Linked DNA regions of Styela clava. The protein of the gene in region 2 purifies or fractionates together with the protein of the main gene of each other region. This does not show direct contact. Links are inferred from orthologs where the notes say so. Each region holds a gene or a part of one and is shown on either strand. Other genes may lie near its edges.

The links.
Region 1: the proteins of DNA-directed RNA polymerase II subunit RPB2 (region 2) and GPN-loop GTPase 3-like purify together in Homo sapiens (co-immunoprecipitation; 3 studies listed by BioGRID and IntAct, counting the BioPlex papers as one, with this or other methods). This does not show direct contact. The link is inferred for Styela clava from reciprocal best matches to the Homo sapiens genes POLR2B and GPN3.

The regions. Positions count from the first base shown.
Region 1 is NC_135263.1:14,651,862-14,659,311, reverse strand, and holds GPN-loop GTPase 3-like, read right to left. Parts: upstream 2,463-7,450; 5' UTR 2,239-2,462; coding exon 1,405-2,238; 3' UTR 609-1,404; downstream 1-608. Other genes in the region: RNA N(6)-adenosine-methyltransferase METTL16-like, read right to left, coding at 1-587. UniProt on the Homo sapiens protein: Small GTPase required for proper localization of RNA polymerase II (RNAPII). May act at an RNAP assembly step prior to nuclear import.
Region 2 is NC_135255.1:20,506,801-20,514,342, forward strand, and holds the start of DNA-directed RNA polymerase II subunit RPB2, read right to left. Parts: upstream 3,058-7,542; 5' UTR 3,034-3,057; coding exon 2,919-3,033; intron 1-2,918. UniProt on the Homo sapiens protein: Catalytic core component of RNA polymerase II (Pol II), a DNA-dependent RNA polymerase which synthesizes mRNA precursors and many functional non-coding RNAs using the four ribonucleoside triphosphates as substrates.

The sequences.
Region 1 (7,450 bases), on a different chromosome or scaffold from region 2:
TCGCTTGAGTCATTGAAAAAGGGTGGATTGCACATACATAAATCAAATCCATCATTTGCATCTTGGAATAAATGTAATAGCAAAGAAGTTGTAGCACTTTTGTCAACTTTGAGAACTTTTATCGATGACTTTAGTGAATTTTTTTCTATGTTATTAACAGCATTTTTGAAGTTTAAACTATCAATCTCAGTTGCAGTGAATTTCCAGTCTGGGTTATTTCTCATGCCCAGTAACGGATATATACAGGCTGACCCTGTGCCGATATCCACAATATGCCTTTGCTTGGTAAATTCCTGTGAAGTAGCATTCAATAAATCTTCTATCCATAGAATATAATTTAAACGAGATGGAACTGTAGGAGAAAGCCTATCTGAAGGAAGATCTACATCAAGTTCGAAGTCCTTATGTAATAAACATTTTGTTAATATTCTTACAACAGACGGAATTCGGAAATTTACAAATGCCTTTCCATTTGGATTGTATTTGACATATGGTTTAAATTCAGGATACTGTTTCGATAGTTCAATAAAATCTGGAGGATTATCTTTGTACCCATTCCTTGGGTGCATGTGTTTGTTCAAAGCCATAGCATAGTAAAGTGCATGAAATCTGCAAGAAAATATGAAAACTTGATGATTATGTAAATGCAAGAAATATAATCAATGGCGTGAAAGTAAAAAGATGTAGACAATCCATTACAGACATGATTTAGTCAGTTTCAACAAGATGAAGCTGATTTTTATGCAAAACATGGCATCTTGATGATAAAATCAAGATATAAGTTCAATTTCGCAACACAAAAGATTCACATTTCCTTTTGATAACCAATATACAAAATAAGATACTGTAAAGAACAGAATTATGCATTAAAAAAAACGATGGAGCCATTCCTACTTCTAGAAGCGAAAATTACTTTCCAATATACGACTATAAAATAAACTCACAATAGAACAGGATCATTCAGCACAAGATTTCATTTCAAATGTCTCAGAAATTGAGACTCCATTCTATAAAATTTTCACATATAGAAATATTATGAAAAAGTTACACAATCACACTATTTTAAAGACTCAGCGAAGATGGAACATCATATATACCCAAGATATAAAATTGTATCACTGCCTTCTGAAAACAAGTAAATCAGAACGCTAAAAAGGCGCTTATTATGGGTCTGACAAAATGATATCACCACCTGTTTGGCTTATTCAAGCATTTACGACGTGTACTTCTTTCGCCGCCATATTACTTTGTTATCAACCATTATTTGTCCTCGAAATTGTAAGTGAAACAATATAGTGCACAGATTTTTGATGATGGTCCCAATTTTGGATGTGTTCAGGAAGGTCGTGACCTATTTATTACTCATACCCAGCTTCGTCCGGATAGACAGCAGAGGGAGCAACCCTAGTCTTCTGCATCCCTTTCATTATCTTCATTATAATCTTCTACACGAACAGGTTGGTCTTCACTAAACTGCATAGCTGTATCAATATGCTGAAGTATTATATTAATGGATTCTTCATCAGATCTATCAAGTGGAAGAAATCTGACCATACTGTAATCGTCAATAATTTGACAAAGAGATTCTGTAAGTTTTTGATATTTTTTATCATGATATGTATCACACATGTCTGCTAAAAGTAGATTTTGCATTTCAGGATCTAAAAATTTTTGAAGATCTCGCTTTGAATGTTTTGAAAGAAGATCAACTTTGGTCATTACACTTAGATGTGTTATTTCAAGATTTATCATACAGGATAGCGAAGACAATGTACCTGATATGAATTTGCTTGGCTCTCCAAGAAATTGCGAATCAACGAGAAATACACCACAAGTTCGAAAGTCCCAATTTTGTAAATTTTCTACTAAAGTTTTCATAACAGGTAAGTGCGTGTATAGTTCAATTTGACCAGGGCAGTCAAATAGAAAATAGCTATCCTCTTCCATGTCTGTTATGAATTCTTTAATCCAGTCCATATTTTTAGCAAAATACTCCATGCAAAATACTAAGCCCCCATTAGGCCCAAATCGTAACTCTTCATCTTCCATCACATCATCCAAATGAATAAGTTCCCTGATATCCAGTTCGACAGGGTAATCAAAATATTCTGCAGCAGGATCTAAGTTTACAACATAACATTTCCGTTTTAGCACCGAAAAATGCTCCACCATCATTGAACAGTATGTACTTTTCCCACTTCCAGCAGGTCCCATCACCAATTGAGCATAACGTGGCATAGTGGCAATTTTAACTATATTCAATATCTGTATTCTAATATCTGAATTAAATGCGGCATTATGTTTCAAACCCGGCTGAGGATCCAGGGAGCTGTGACATTTTGGTGGAGCTGGAGCCAAGCCTAAAATGTTAGATGGAGCTACCAACAATTTCAGTGGCTCCAGCTCCAACCATCTAATTGTTTTTTAATTATTTATAAATTTCCAATACATCACACAAATAAGAAAATTTATCCTTTCCAGCTCATAAATTTTTAAACAGTACTTTATTTTATAATAGGCCTATTAATTTAAAATTTCAAGTTTGAAACCCTTATATTGTACTTTTTTCTTTGATGATAAATAAAATAATAATATAAATCATTACATACAGATGACACATAACAATTTCCATAATTTATATTGATCAGTTGTATCCACATGATAGCGGGTACTTCATATATCTGCATATCCCATTTGGTGTCATCATAGATTATATGTTCCATAATGCTGTAATGCCAAGTATCATTACCCTCTTCTAATTAATGCATAAAAATAAAATTTAAGAATTAGTTCCACTTCATTTTGGTAACAGATGTACTCATATTTACCTTATATATATTTGCATAATGAATCAAGTTCATCAGAATAATTGTGCGGGGTTGGTAGCACAGGTCATATCAGGGATGGCGAAATACGGTCTAATTTTGTTAAATTAGGGATGGCAAAATACAGTCGAAGCATGTCAGATTAGGGATGGCAAAATATGGTCGATGCGTGTTAATACGATCAGTCACAGCACTTCTTATAACGCTGTAATGTGTTGCCTGCAGATACCAGTGTAAAACAGCTTACAAAACATGTGGAATAATTCGCTAGTGAAGAATATAGAAAGTGAATTGTCAAAAAGAACTAGTGATGGAAAACACAACAAAGGAAGTAAGTATGGCGGTCGTGATATCAAACTTAATGTTAGTATCAAAACAAATACTAATAACACAGTGGAAAACGAAAATCTCTCACAAAAGTGAAAAAGTTGTGAAAACTAATTACCGGTAGTAATTACTTAAGCTGGGTGTAATGAAAAGCATAACAACCAAAAATTGATAAATATTAACAGGGAATGAATAAATAATTCTCGTGGAGCAATAAAATAGCAGTACCGGTAAATGTTTTCATGGTAACAAAATGTGTTCATCAGTACAGAAAATATGCATTATTCAACACCATCATCCATTGAAAAAAAGTTCTATTAGCAAGAGAAAGTGACAAATAAAAAAAAAGTATTGAAGAATAATGTACATACATGAAATCACATTTGTTTTTGTTTTTACGCCACTGCAATGCCAGCAAAATTCCAGCCAAATGTTTTAAACATTCTACCGGGTGTCATACCAGGGTGTGCCATGAATCGTAAAATGAGGAACAGAAGTTATATTTACATTTTTACAATATTCATCGTGGATTCATGGTAAATATGAATTTACCACTAAATAGAGGACTAATATAAGAATTTAACACGACAAAAAATTTTAGTGATTACCTGTGATTTTCCGAACTTTTTTGGGTTCGAATATTGGGAATTGTGCAAGAATTGAAAATTTTGGTAAAAAAACAAATTGATTTTTTTTATTTAACTTTTCTGGTCCCGGGGGCAAAAATATGGATTACCAACTGAATAAAGGACAAATATGAGAACTCACCGCGACAAAAAATTTTTGGTGCTTACCTGCGATTTTTCGAACTTTTTTGGGTGCGAATATTGGGAATTGTGCAACGATTTTGTTGAACTTTTCCGGTCCCGGGGGCAAAAATATGAATTTACCAATGAATAAAGGACTAATATGAGAACCCACCGCAACAAAAAAATTTTGATGCTTTCCTGCGATGCTTCCTGTGAAAACATTGGTGGGATACCCGATTTTTTTGAACTTTTCCGGTCCCGGGGGCAAAAATATGAATTTACCAATGAATAGAGGACTAATATGAGAACTCAACGGGCCAAAAAAATTTTGGTGCTTTCCTGCGATTTTTCGAACTTATTTGGGTTCGAATATTGAGAATTGTGGAAAAATTTAAAATTTTGGTAAGATTTTTTTGAACTTTTCCGGTCCCGGGGGCAAAACTATGAATTTATCAATGAATAGGGACTAATATGAGAATATAACGCAACAAAAAATTTTGGTGATTACCAGCCATTGCTTCGAACGTTTTTGGATTCGAATATTGGGAATATCCTGTCCACATTGATGTTTATTTTTTGACACGAAGTGGACCTATGCATCGTTACACGTTAGTGGATATAGCGATCGTTTTGCATTATTTTTGGACACCTAGTAGAAAACTTAAAAAGTCGCTTCTATCTTTGATTACTGGACCAATATCTTCAAAATTTTCAGTGGTTGGAGAATTCTATCTAGAAGGCCATGACTTTTATTTATTTCATATATTTCTGTTAGCTCTGTGGAATTCTTTTTTTCTTTGCTATGACGTGACCGAACGTTCTGCGAACGCACGCCACCTGATTCCGTGCTCGGCGTTTGCCGATGGATCTACTACTTAGCAAAAGTGGGAAGTTTTTCATGTCGAACGATGGACTGTGGTATTATTTTCGGAAATTGGCAAAATGCTCACGTGTCCATATATTTTTACGTCGCTATCTTGTGTTATTATGTTGTTGTCTTGTTTGATACGAAATGTACCTATGGATCGTTTTGTTACCATGATGTTCTTTATAAACCTTGCTTGCTACATTCAGCATTCCTCCCTGTAAAGCTTGCGTCAGCTGCGCCATTGCATGAACAGTGTGATCCGGCGTACCATATTCCATCTTGGTATGGCTTCTTATAGTACCCGGTGACTCAATCTTAATTTCATGAGCTGCTGACCTGTTTACAGGTTCGACTTTCCAAGTGCAGGTTTAAGTATTCTGTGGGGTCTGCAGCTGCCGCAAAACCATGACGATATTTCCATACCATGGCCGCTACGGCCAAACCTATGGCGACTGACTTTTTAGCTGCCACAAACCAATGACAGGCTGGCGTTACCGCGGCAGCAAATTGGAAACCAATGGCAGGTGAAATTTTGCTGCCATAACCACGGCAGGTGGGCCGTAAAGACAGGGCTGTTCCTTATGGTGACAAAAATTGGGTAAGTTGGAACGTTTTCTTATGGATACAGTTTTGATGAATTTAGGGTTAGGGTAGGGTTTAACTTTAAGTAGATATTATTCCGCATGACCATTTGAAATCTGGTACATTAATTTGTGAATATACCGTTAATACTGATTACTGGATAGCGCTATAAAACCATGGCAAGAGTTGCCGCGGTTCGTTCGTGGCAGGAGCTGCCATGAAGTGGTAAGAACTGCGCCTCCAACTTTCGGCACTTCAGTTTGAACATTTCAAACTTCAATGGGATTCGAGAGAATAAGATGCTGATTTGTACTTGCATCAAATCTATGATCATGCATAATATCACTCAAAAATTCTTTGCAGGTGACAGAACTTGCTTCTCTTTTGATAAGAATGGAACGTTTGGATCCAACATAAATCCTTTATCATCATTTGCCATAGGAGTAAAAATTTGCTGCAAGATCTTATTTGCTTGCTCTGGATCAAAGTCCGACACATTTGAGGGTTTCGTAGAAAGCGTAAGTGACGTACCAGCCACATCATCTTGATTTAAGAACTTCAAATGCAGGGCAGACACTTTCCATAATTTTGGGGGGGCGAACTTGGACCGCCTACCTAAAAACACCGCGCCGTGTATCGTCACGTAACAATAATCTGTCGATGTCATTCTGTAAGTATTAGAATGTCATTTTGCTACTCATATATCGAGTACCTAGGATGCTTCGCTTAGACACGGACCTTGCGCGTCACAGAGCCAATTTCTTGAATTCCGCGAGAATTAGCCCACGGCCCTTGCTACCAACAAGAAAATAACAAATTTGAGGAGTCGTATTAGGTTATTGTTTCTATTCCTAGTTCTGCATAAAGCGCACTAACGCCGTTTCGTAAAATTCGAATTGCAAAAGTCGGAACTTCCCATTGCCGTCTGCAACAAGCACCGTGATTACGCGCCCGTTAAAAAAGCCGCCTATTTAAGCCTATAATGATTTTTCTGTCGCGTAAAATATTCAATCCATGACAGCCACGAGATTCTAAAATGTCCTTATATATTAATTTATTTGTGTACAACGTAACTCGCGTTTGCGACTTCTTACGTTAAAATAAAAATATTATCAAACTAAAGTAACACGGCGATATGTGGACATAAAAATATGAGATAAGCTGCCTGATGTATTTAATTTTGATACGTATTTTTCCAATCTTCCGAACTCGTTATCGCCGTTACAAAAATCTCGATATCTGATATAAAATCCCATATAGTACAAAATTTTGTTCATACAATGAAAATAATTATAAAGTATACTAGTAAATCAAAAATATAATTTCACCGCCTCGAAATCCACGTGGAACAGTCGCCACTAGTAAAAAGAGTCGACTTTTTCAACGAAAAATGATTTTTCACTTGTGCAAAGTAATCAATCAAAGACCGATACGGGCATATTCAAAATGTCTTGATTTATTAATTTAATTGTCTTCAATTTAAACTGCGGTTGAGTCGACAAAACAAGAGCCACTCTAAAACACCACGGCAATCCGCAGACATAAAAATGTGTGGTAAACTGCCCGTTTATATATTGTTTTGATCCGTATTTTTGCTATTTTGCGAATTCCATAAATTTGAGATGTACTTGTAACACTGGCTCCGCTCAATCGCAATGCTGTCACTCCGATTATTTTTAAAGATAAAACCTTTCGAAAAATCCGTAAATTTTCTGTCAATTCTCACGTAGTAAAAGTTATTTCAGTACAATTAAAATACATAAATAAATATAAAAATTGATCGAATATACTTTAATTATATTATATATCATCACAAACCGACTTATATTGTAACTTAATGTAGAGTTAAGAGGTTCTACAGGTCTTATTTCTGCTTATTAGGCTTGTCAATCTACTTCCGTTTCCGTAGCTCACTCTCGACACAGTAGTAACGCACACATAAACACATCCAACTTGTATGAAAGAACTTGTAATGAAAGTATATGTACAGTATATACAAGTCACAGTCCAGTAAAATTCCACAATCAGGTAAAAGTTTCACAGTAGATAGATGGCAGCAATGTTCCCTCTAATTTTTTGTAGTATGTGTGCGCAGAAAT
Region 2 (7,542 bases):
CCGCCATCTTGGTTCGCATACTTCGGGAGCACCAAAAAAAGATCACAACTGCAACGAGGTCTAAAAACTTGAAGACATACGAACCCCCTGTGAACTTCAACCTTACTCAATTAGGTGGCATATGACAGACATTTAGGGTTCTGTTAATAATTCAAGTTATTATGACAATAAAAAAAAATATTACAAAGGTCTAAACCAGGGGGCCGGCAACTTTTTGTCGCTCGCGGGCCAAAATAAAGGGTTGCAAGTCATTGGCGGGCCGCACATATTTTTAGAAAGTTGAAAGCCGAATGGATGATACTTTTTATAATAAAAATCAAGCAAGGATACATCTCTCGAATAGAATATAGATTTATATCTTCATTGCATTGTGTCTCAAAATATTCCAATTGAATATTGTCGGCGCCATTAAACCCTTTACACTCAGCTTCACCTTTCTTCGTAATTGTGAATTTTATACTTGTTAGATTATAATATAATTTAGTCTACACACCTCTCACAATAAATTATGTTGAATAAAGAATATATTCGTCAAAACAGCTGTTTTGTTACTATGATTCAATGAAACCTCGAAGGCCGGATTATATTACTCCGCGGGCCGTAGGTTGCCGACCCCTGGTATAAACACTTGAGGACATTCACACCTTCTTTAATCTAACACATAAACAGTTCCATATTTGAATGACCAAATTTATGGCAAATATATGAATACACTCTCAAGTACTACTAATTTGACATGTAAAATTTTTAAGTGCATAGTTATGATATGGACATGGTTTTGTTCAACAGCACAACTTTTCATATTTAGTAACGCACGCAAGTAAAAAAAGATTTAATTTTAAATGGATAATTTCAAACAGAGTATGCACAAAACTTTGTATATTAATAGAGGCTAAATATAATAGGCCTATGCGATAATTCTTTTTGTTCCAGTATCTCACAATCCCTTAGCATTGGTCGCTCGTGACTGCCCTTATGGACCGATATTGATTACTTTTGAGTGTGTGCACGACTTTGCTTTGAGCAAATTTCTTCGCAAAAAAACAATACTTTTTTGAGTGAAAATACTCTAATTTATCAATATGTTACATCAGAGATAAAATCAAATATATTTTCAAACATTCGATCAATATTGGCCATTTTAATCCCAAGCATATTATCATGTTACTGTATATTTATAGAGAAAACATTAATGATCTGAGAGTTACATTTTGCCCTCGGGGTCAGAAGACAACGTGGTTTAGTGGTAGAATAGACAGCTTGCTAACTTCAGCAAATGCTGATTATAGCAATGGAGGAATTTTGATTAAATGTATTGTGAATTAGTGAATACACTCTACAAATCTGTGTTTTCGTGAATTCCATTTTTTGACATTGGATTTCTTCCAAATATCACAGCACTGCTATACCAATCTAAAATACCAAGCTGTTCTGACATGGAAACCTAAAATTTTTACGGAAGCTATTCCTGATTGAAAAAAAACATAATGAATATATCAAATACAAAATAGATGAATTTTTTTAGGCAAACTTCAATTACAATCTCTTTGCATGATCAGTATCCATTAAACCTGTGTTTCCAAACCTATGGGTCACCCCAGTAGTGGGATTCAATTTTTTTGTCAGCCGGTTCCATCGCAAAAGTCATATTTTTTAGTCGGTTCTGTTACAAAAAGTCATTGACAGTAACCAGTAGTGCTAACCGGTTCGCTGATCTCATCAAATTCTGCGAGACGGTTTTATAGAACCGGTGCGAACCAGCTGAATCCCACTACTGGTCACGATCCGAAACTGCGTCGCCTAAAAATCTTTTTGGGCCATTCGTTTTTTCAACAGAAATCTAAAAGTTACTAATTTTATTTTATAGTAAATTTTATTGTTTATTTTATATTGGGTATTGAAGTGTTGCTCAATAGTAATTGTATGAGTGGAGTAATTGTATTGTGAGATACTAGGTTTCAAAACCACGCTGAGGGCAAACTAGCTCAGCTTTTTCACTTTGTTTTATATCAGTCATTCCATTTTTGCGGCCACATAGTATTAAAGTGATAAGTAAAAATAACATGATCTCTTTCAACGAATTAGTAAGTATATTTGTGAGCTTTCGTTAGATCATGGTCTAACTTCTTCAAACAATACAAGATATAACTTAATAACAGCAATAATCCGAAGTAGAAAGTAAACAAGGAGAAAGGACCTGCAGTTCAATACACAATATCCAAGTTCCCTACATAGTATTACATGCCATTTAGTATTTGCGTCGAGAGATCTTACAGAATTTATTTTTTAGAAAATTTCGAGCCGCTTGAAAAAAATGGGTTGATAACCAATGCTTTAAACGATACAGTGGGAAAGCTGTATCATTGGTCAAATAGCCACACCCATGTCCGTTTCTATCATGATCTGGAAAAAATATTCAAAGTCTTGAAATAACGATTTCTGGACATTTTATTGCTTCCTAAAGCTAGAGCAGTGATAGGCAACCTCCGGTTCTGAAAACACCTGCTATTTTGTTCTCGGATCTGGACCCCGTTAATCAAAGTGGCTACAGAAGTTCTTAAGTGTCAAGGATTCAACGAGAATATCGGTCAGCGACCGAAGACTTATCGATCGAAAGTTGTGGGATCCCCCAAAACAGCGCTCTTACTCCATAGTGACACCTTGTGTCCCATCACTAATTAATCAATAACTCGCTAATCATACGACATAATTCATCCAAAATCAATAGGCTTCTGATCCAAGGTATGATGAATGCATATGCAAAATTTGGAGCGGATTGATCCTCGCTTTCGTGAGATATCGCGTGTATCTAACAGACAAACAAACAGACAAATACCTATCAACATACTTACCGATCTTAAGATCGATAAGTAATGAAAGGCAGAGGCATAAAACTTGCGAAAAAATACAAATCCTACCTTTTTCATCAAAGTAAGAGCTGATAACAATCCAGCAAGCTTCCTGCCATAATTCAGGCGAGATATCCTCTTCATCTTCCCCATCTCTCAGTTCAAGGTCATCGTCTTGAAACATCCTGGTTCAAAGGTTGAAGGTCGTTGCAATGAAATGATTATTGTATCGGCGTATTTTAAGCTAGGTTTTATTCTAAGCTACAAAAAAACAAGCGAAAAATTGAATAAGCTGTCTTGTGAATGTGATGTGTGAATAATATAGAAATTTGTGACTGAAAGTAGGCGAGGCACCTGTTAATGGATTTATAACATAATTTGACACAGAAAAAATAAAACACCACACTGTCAAAGAATAGCTAGGTGGAAAGGTCGTAGACAGAAAGTTGAGGGTGTTAACCCACATTTCTCTGCCTCTGGTCAGACCCGCAAGCTTGACAATTGGAAATTTCAGGAGCCTTCCTCTCTGAAAATCCCTACTTACAACCCCTGTTAAAAGGTGCCTCTCCTACAAACAGCAATGTTAAACCAGATATAAATACAATATAGCACAGTAAATTTATTTGTGAAAGTTCGCAAAAATACAGAAATTGAATTAAAAGGTCTGAGTTTGATTCGATGAAAGGCCATCCCCGTCCCTGGAAAAAGATCTACATGACATTATTTTCACTGTGGGGCCACAAATAAACATAGATAAATGGATACTTGAACATGTGTAAAAAAAAAACTATATTGACAGCACGTTATAAATGTCCCAAAGAACACATAAATGACATTGCCCAGGTGTGTCTGCATTGACCAAAGGATCCCAAACTTTTTTACATTAATTAAAATTCTGTTGAATAAATCACAGCGTATTGAAAAGAAAATTCGACTTTGTTAGAGTTCGATCACTGGAAGGAAAAGTTTCACAATATTTGCACATCAGTGCGATACATGTTTTTTTTTTCATGCACATAAATGGGTAGTCCCGAGGTATGTGAACCAAGATGGCAGACACCGGAACGTAGTATGTGTACCAGGTTAGGGTTAGGCAACGCAAACAAATTTAGTCATATATAGCCAGTCGAAATTTTCTCACGGTACTTTTAGTTTTAACAGATTGCATCATTTTGTGTTCAAAATGCGGGCGGATAAGAGAAGAAACCACTGAAACAGGCAATTCAAAACATCGCATAATTTATATCGCTTACTTCTCACTGGTCTCACATTTAATATTAGATAACAATGTTCGAATAGTTGTGTAATATTGAATACATTCCATAAATTATTGATGTTTCCATATCAGCACTTAGTTTCAAACTAAATTCCTGAACATTCAAATTACTGACACTTAAAAAATAATACACCACTCTCATAGGAACTTATATAAAATACACCAACCTACATAATAACCCCCAACCTAACCTTACCCGGGCTACTCAACTTGTAGATCGCGTCCTGGATCCAAAGCTAGTCGAGAAAGTGCGCGTTGATAAAGGCTGTTAAACTATAATTTCTGGAAAGATTGGACACCAATAATTTTGAAGTTTTGTTTGCGAATCTTCAGTGAAAACAGTTGAGTAGCCCTGATTTAACCCACAAATACGGCGTGTTCATAAAGGTCCTGTTACCATTTTCAATTTTGTTATGAATTCAGTTCTCAGTATATCTTAACCGGGCTTGTTTTATTTTAATCAGTGTTTTATAAAGTTATTTTACTTCATTTATGCACCTGTATGGCCAACAAACTATAAATGGTATCGATAAATTCCTTTTGCAATTTGAAAACATTTTTATGACTTTATGAACACCCTACTGTAACATAATAAGGAAAAAGTAAACATAAATTAGAAATTCATTTACGAGCAAGAAATCAGAATGGCAATAGATAAGGAATCAGTAAAGTACAAAATGCATTTGAATGAAATTTTCGAGTCAAGTAAAATTTTGTCAAATAATAAATAATCGAAACCAGGGACTCGCCAGAATAATTACCTCCAAACAGAATAGGCCTGATGCCGCAATTTTACACTTCAATGATTTAAAGATGATATTTTATCTAGAAGTACTGCAAGTATTTCACTAAGTCAAGTTAAATTTAGTTTTTCCAATCAGCGAAAAATCAATGGAACAAATTATGAGAAAATATGCTCAATATTGTACCGGAGAGTGGGAGCCGCGACGAACCGAAGCTGGGTATAATAGACACCTTGTGTCCCATCACTAATTAATCAATTACTCGCTAATCATACGACATATTTCATCCAAAATCAATAGGCTTCTGATCCGAGGTATGATGAATGCATATGCAAAATTTGGAGCAGATTCATCCACGCTTTCGTGAGATATCGCGTGTAAAATTGGAAGCTGGGTATAATAGAGCAACGACACCTAATTTCCCAATTAAAAGTAGAAAAATTGGGAACTAATGAAATCGGCTTACACACGCATAACTCTGATCGCGCTAAACGGTTTGACAGTGATGATAAGAAGGATTTTGAGACACTTCTTACCGTTTTTAATGAAAGCAAAACATAACAAAAATGGCTATAATTTTCATTAATTCTCTCCTGCAACGTTTTGCCGTGATAGGTGGTGTGAGTTACGATTTGTACGGTAGGCATTTACGATGAATTTTATAAACTCATCATTTTAGAGCCGTTTTCAGGAGGCATCGGCTTATCTGCAAAGATATACGTATTACTGTATTTCGCTATTATCAGTGACTAATAGTTCTTGGTAGAGTTTAAATCAAATAGCCATCATTCCATTAGATTACCTCAAAGCAAAAGTGCTCCTGCAGTGCAAGCAATATACATGTTTGAATTATTTGGAAATCATTTTTCAAAATAATAAATAGATTCTGTGTCACATACGTAGGGGTGAGTGAAAGACATCAATAAAATAGAAACACAAATAAAAATTTGAAAATAGCAAACTACACCATCTAGTGATGGCTATTTTAAATTAAATTTATACGATTATTCATAGATGCTAATTAAGAATTCAAGAACAAAGATAAAATTGTGGAAACATCAACAGTGCGACAAAATTATAAATTACAGCAAGAGCACATACATCAAGCTTTTTATTGAAAAACTAAGCTGGGACTCCATTCATCTCTTTGGAAGGGGGTTAACTAAACAACTTTGGGGTAAATTTTGCAGGAGAGAAAAGGAGAGGAGAGAGGAAATTTATACTTTTCGCTACTAATCAAATTTCCCTCTAGAGTAGGGTATCCGGGGTAAATTTGTCCTCTAGGGAGAGGAGATTCAATTCGCCTTGGGGGTTAATTTTGCTACATAAAAATATACACTTTTCACTACTACACGCATATACTACAGCATCTCTTAGAAATAGAAATAATCTTTTCCTAGAGCAGGGGTTCTCAACTGAGGGTAAAACTCGACTTTTGGGATAACTTTTGACTTGCTTTGGGGGTGAATTTTCGCTACTGCATGAATACAAATTAAAGAAATCTTCCCAGGATGAAAGTTCTCAACTCTGGTTAATTTCATTACTGAGAAAATCCACACTTTTTGCTACTTCGCAAATAGAGTGTACCGGTAAGTAAGAAATGACAGTAGTTTCTGATTTTATCTTCCAAAATAATCAGTGTCAGTTGTAAACAGTTTTAAAATTCAAATTTTTAAAGTAGAGCAAATATAAGTGTAGTGATGAATCAGTTTTAGTTAAATTGAGGTACAATAAAAAAATTCACACAAAAACTTTGAATTGGACAGTTTTAAATTTTATATGAACAGTCGCATAAATGAATCTATTTGCAGATGTTTTTGCGCAGTATGAAAAGTTATTGTTCCACCATTAGGATACGTTGGACTAGCAAAGTATTGAATAACATAAGATAAACAAAAAGTGGGGCAATGGAAATTTCCGCCAGTAGGGGTTAATTTGTGAAAGTGAGTCAACGGGTAATTTGAATATTGTCCCCACTTTATGAATAATCATCAAAAAATTTATAACATTTATAAACCCCCTAATATCATAAGCCTAATGAATGAAAAAATTTTTTGAGAACAACATGGATAAAGAAAACTTTGTCAAATAAATATAAAGCAATTTTACGTGAGCAAAGGTGAAAAATTTGAAAGTCTGAACTCTGAACATGGATGAAAATCGATTACAAACAATATTTCAAATTATTGATTTTCATTTAAGTTTGTTGCTTTAGGCAATTGAAATACAACAATGGCCAAAGATTAGACTAATTTTTTAATTGTTCTGTGATAAATTTGTGTGTAACTTCACATTTTTGTATTGGCATATGGAGGGCAATAATGATTTGTACAATTTTGTAAAGGGGCAACGGTATATAAAACTACTGCTCTAAATTATCTATAACCCAAGAAAAAATATGTTCGTTGCCAAATGTAACTTTTCAAATTCAACATATATCCTATTCTAAATGCAGAATCAGGATATTTTAAATAAAACAGCAACTTCCATTATCTAATTTTCTAAAAAAACACCTTCTTTGAATTACATTTCTTTTCCAATTTTTTAGATGTTGAAAGTCATCCCCTGATCATTAGAGCGTAAAAATTGTAAGCATCAATTACGGCACAGTATATTTGCTAAAATAGAGGAGTTATGTGTAGCATAGTACAAAATTGGAATTTAAGCATTAGGA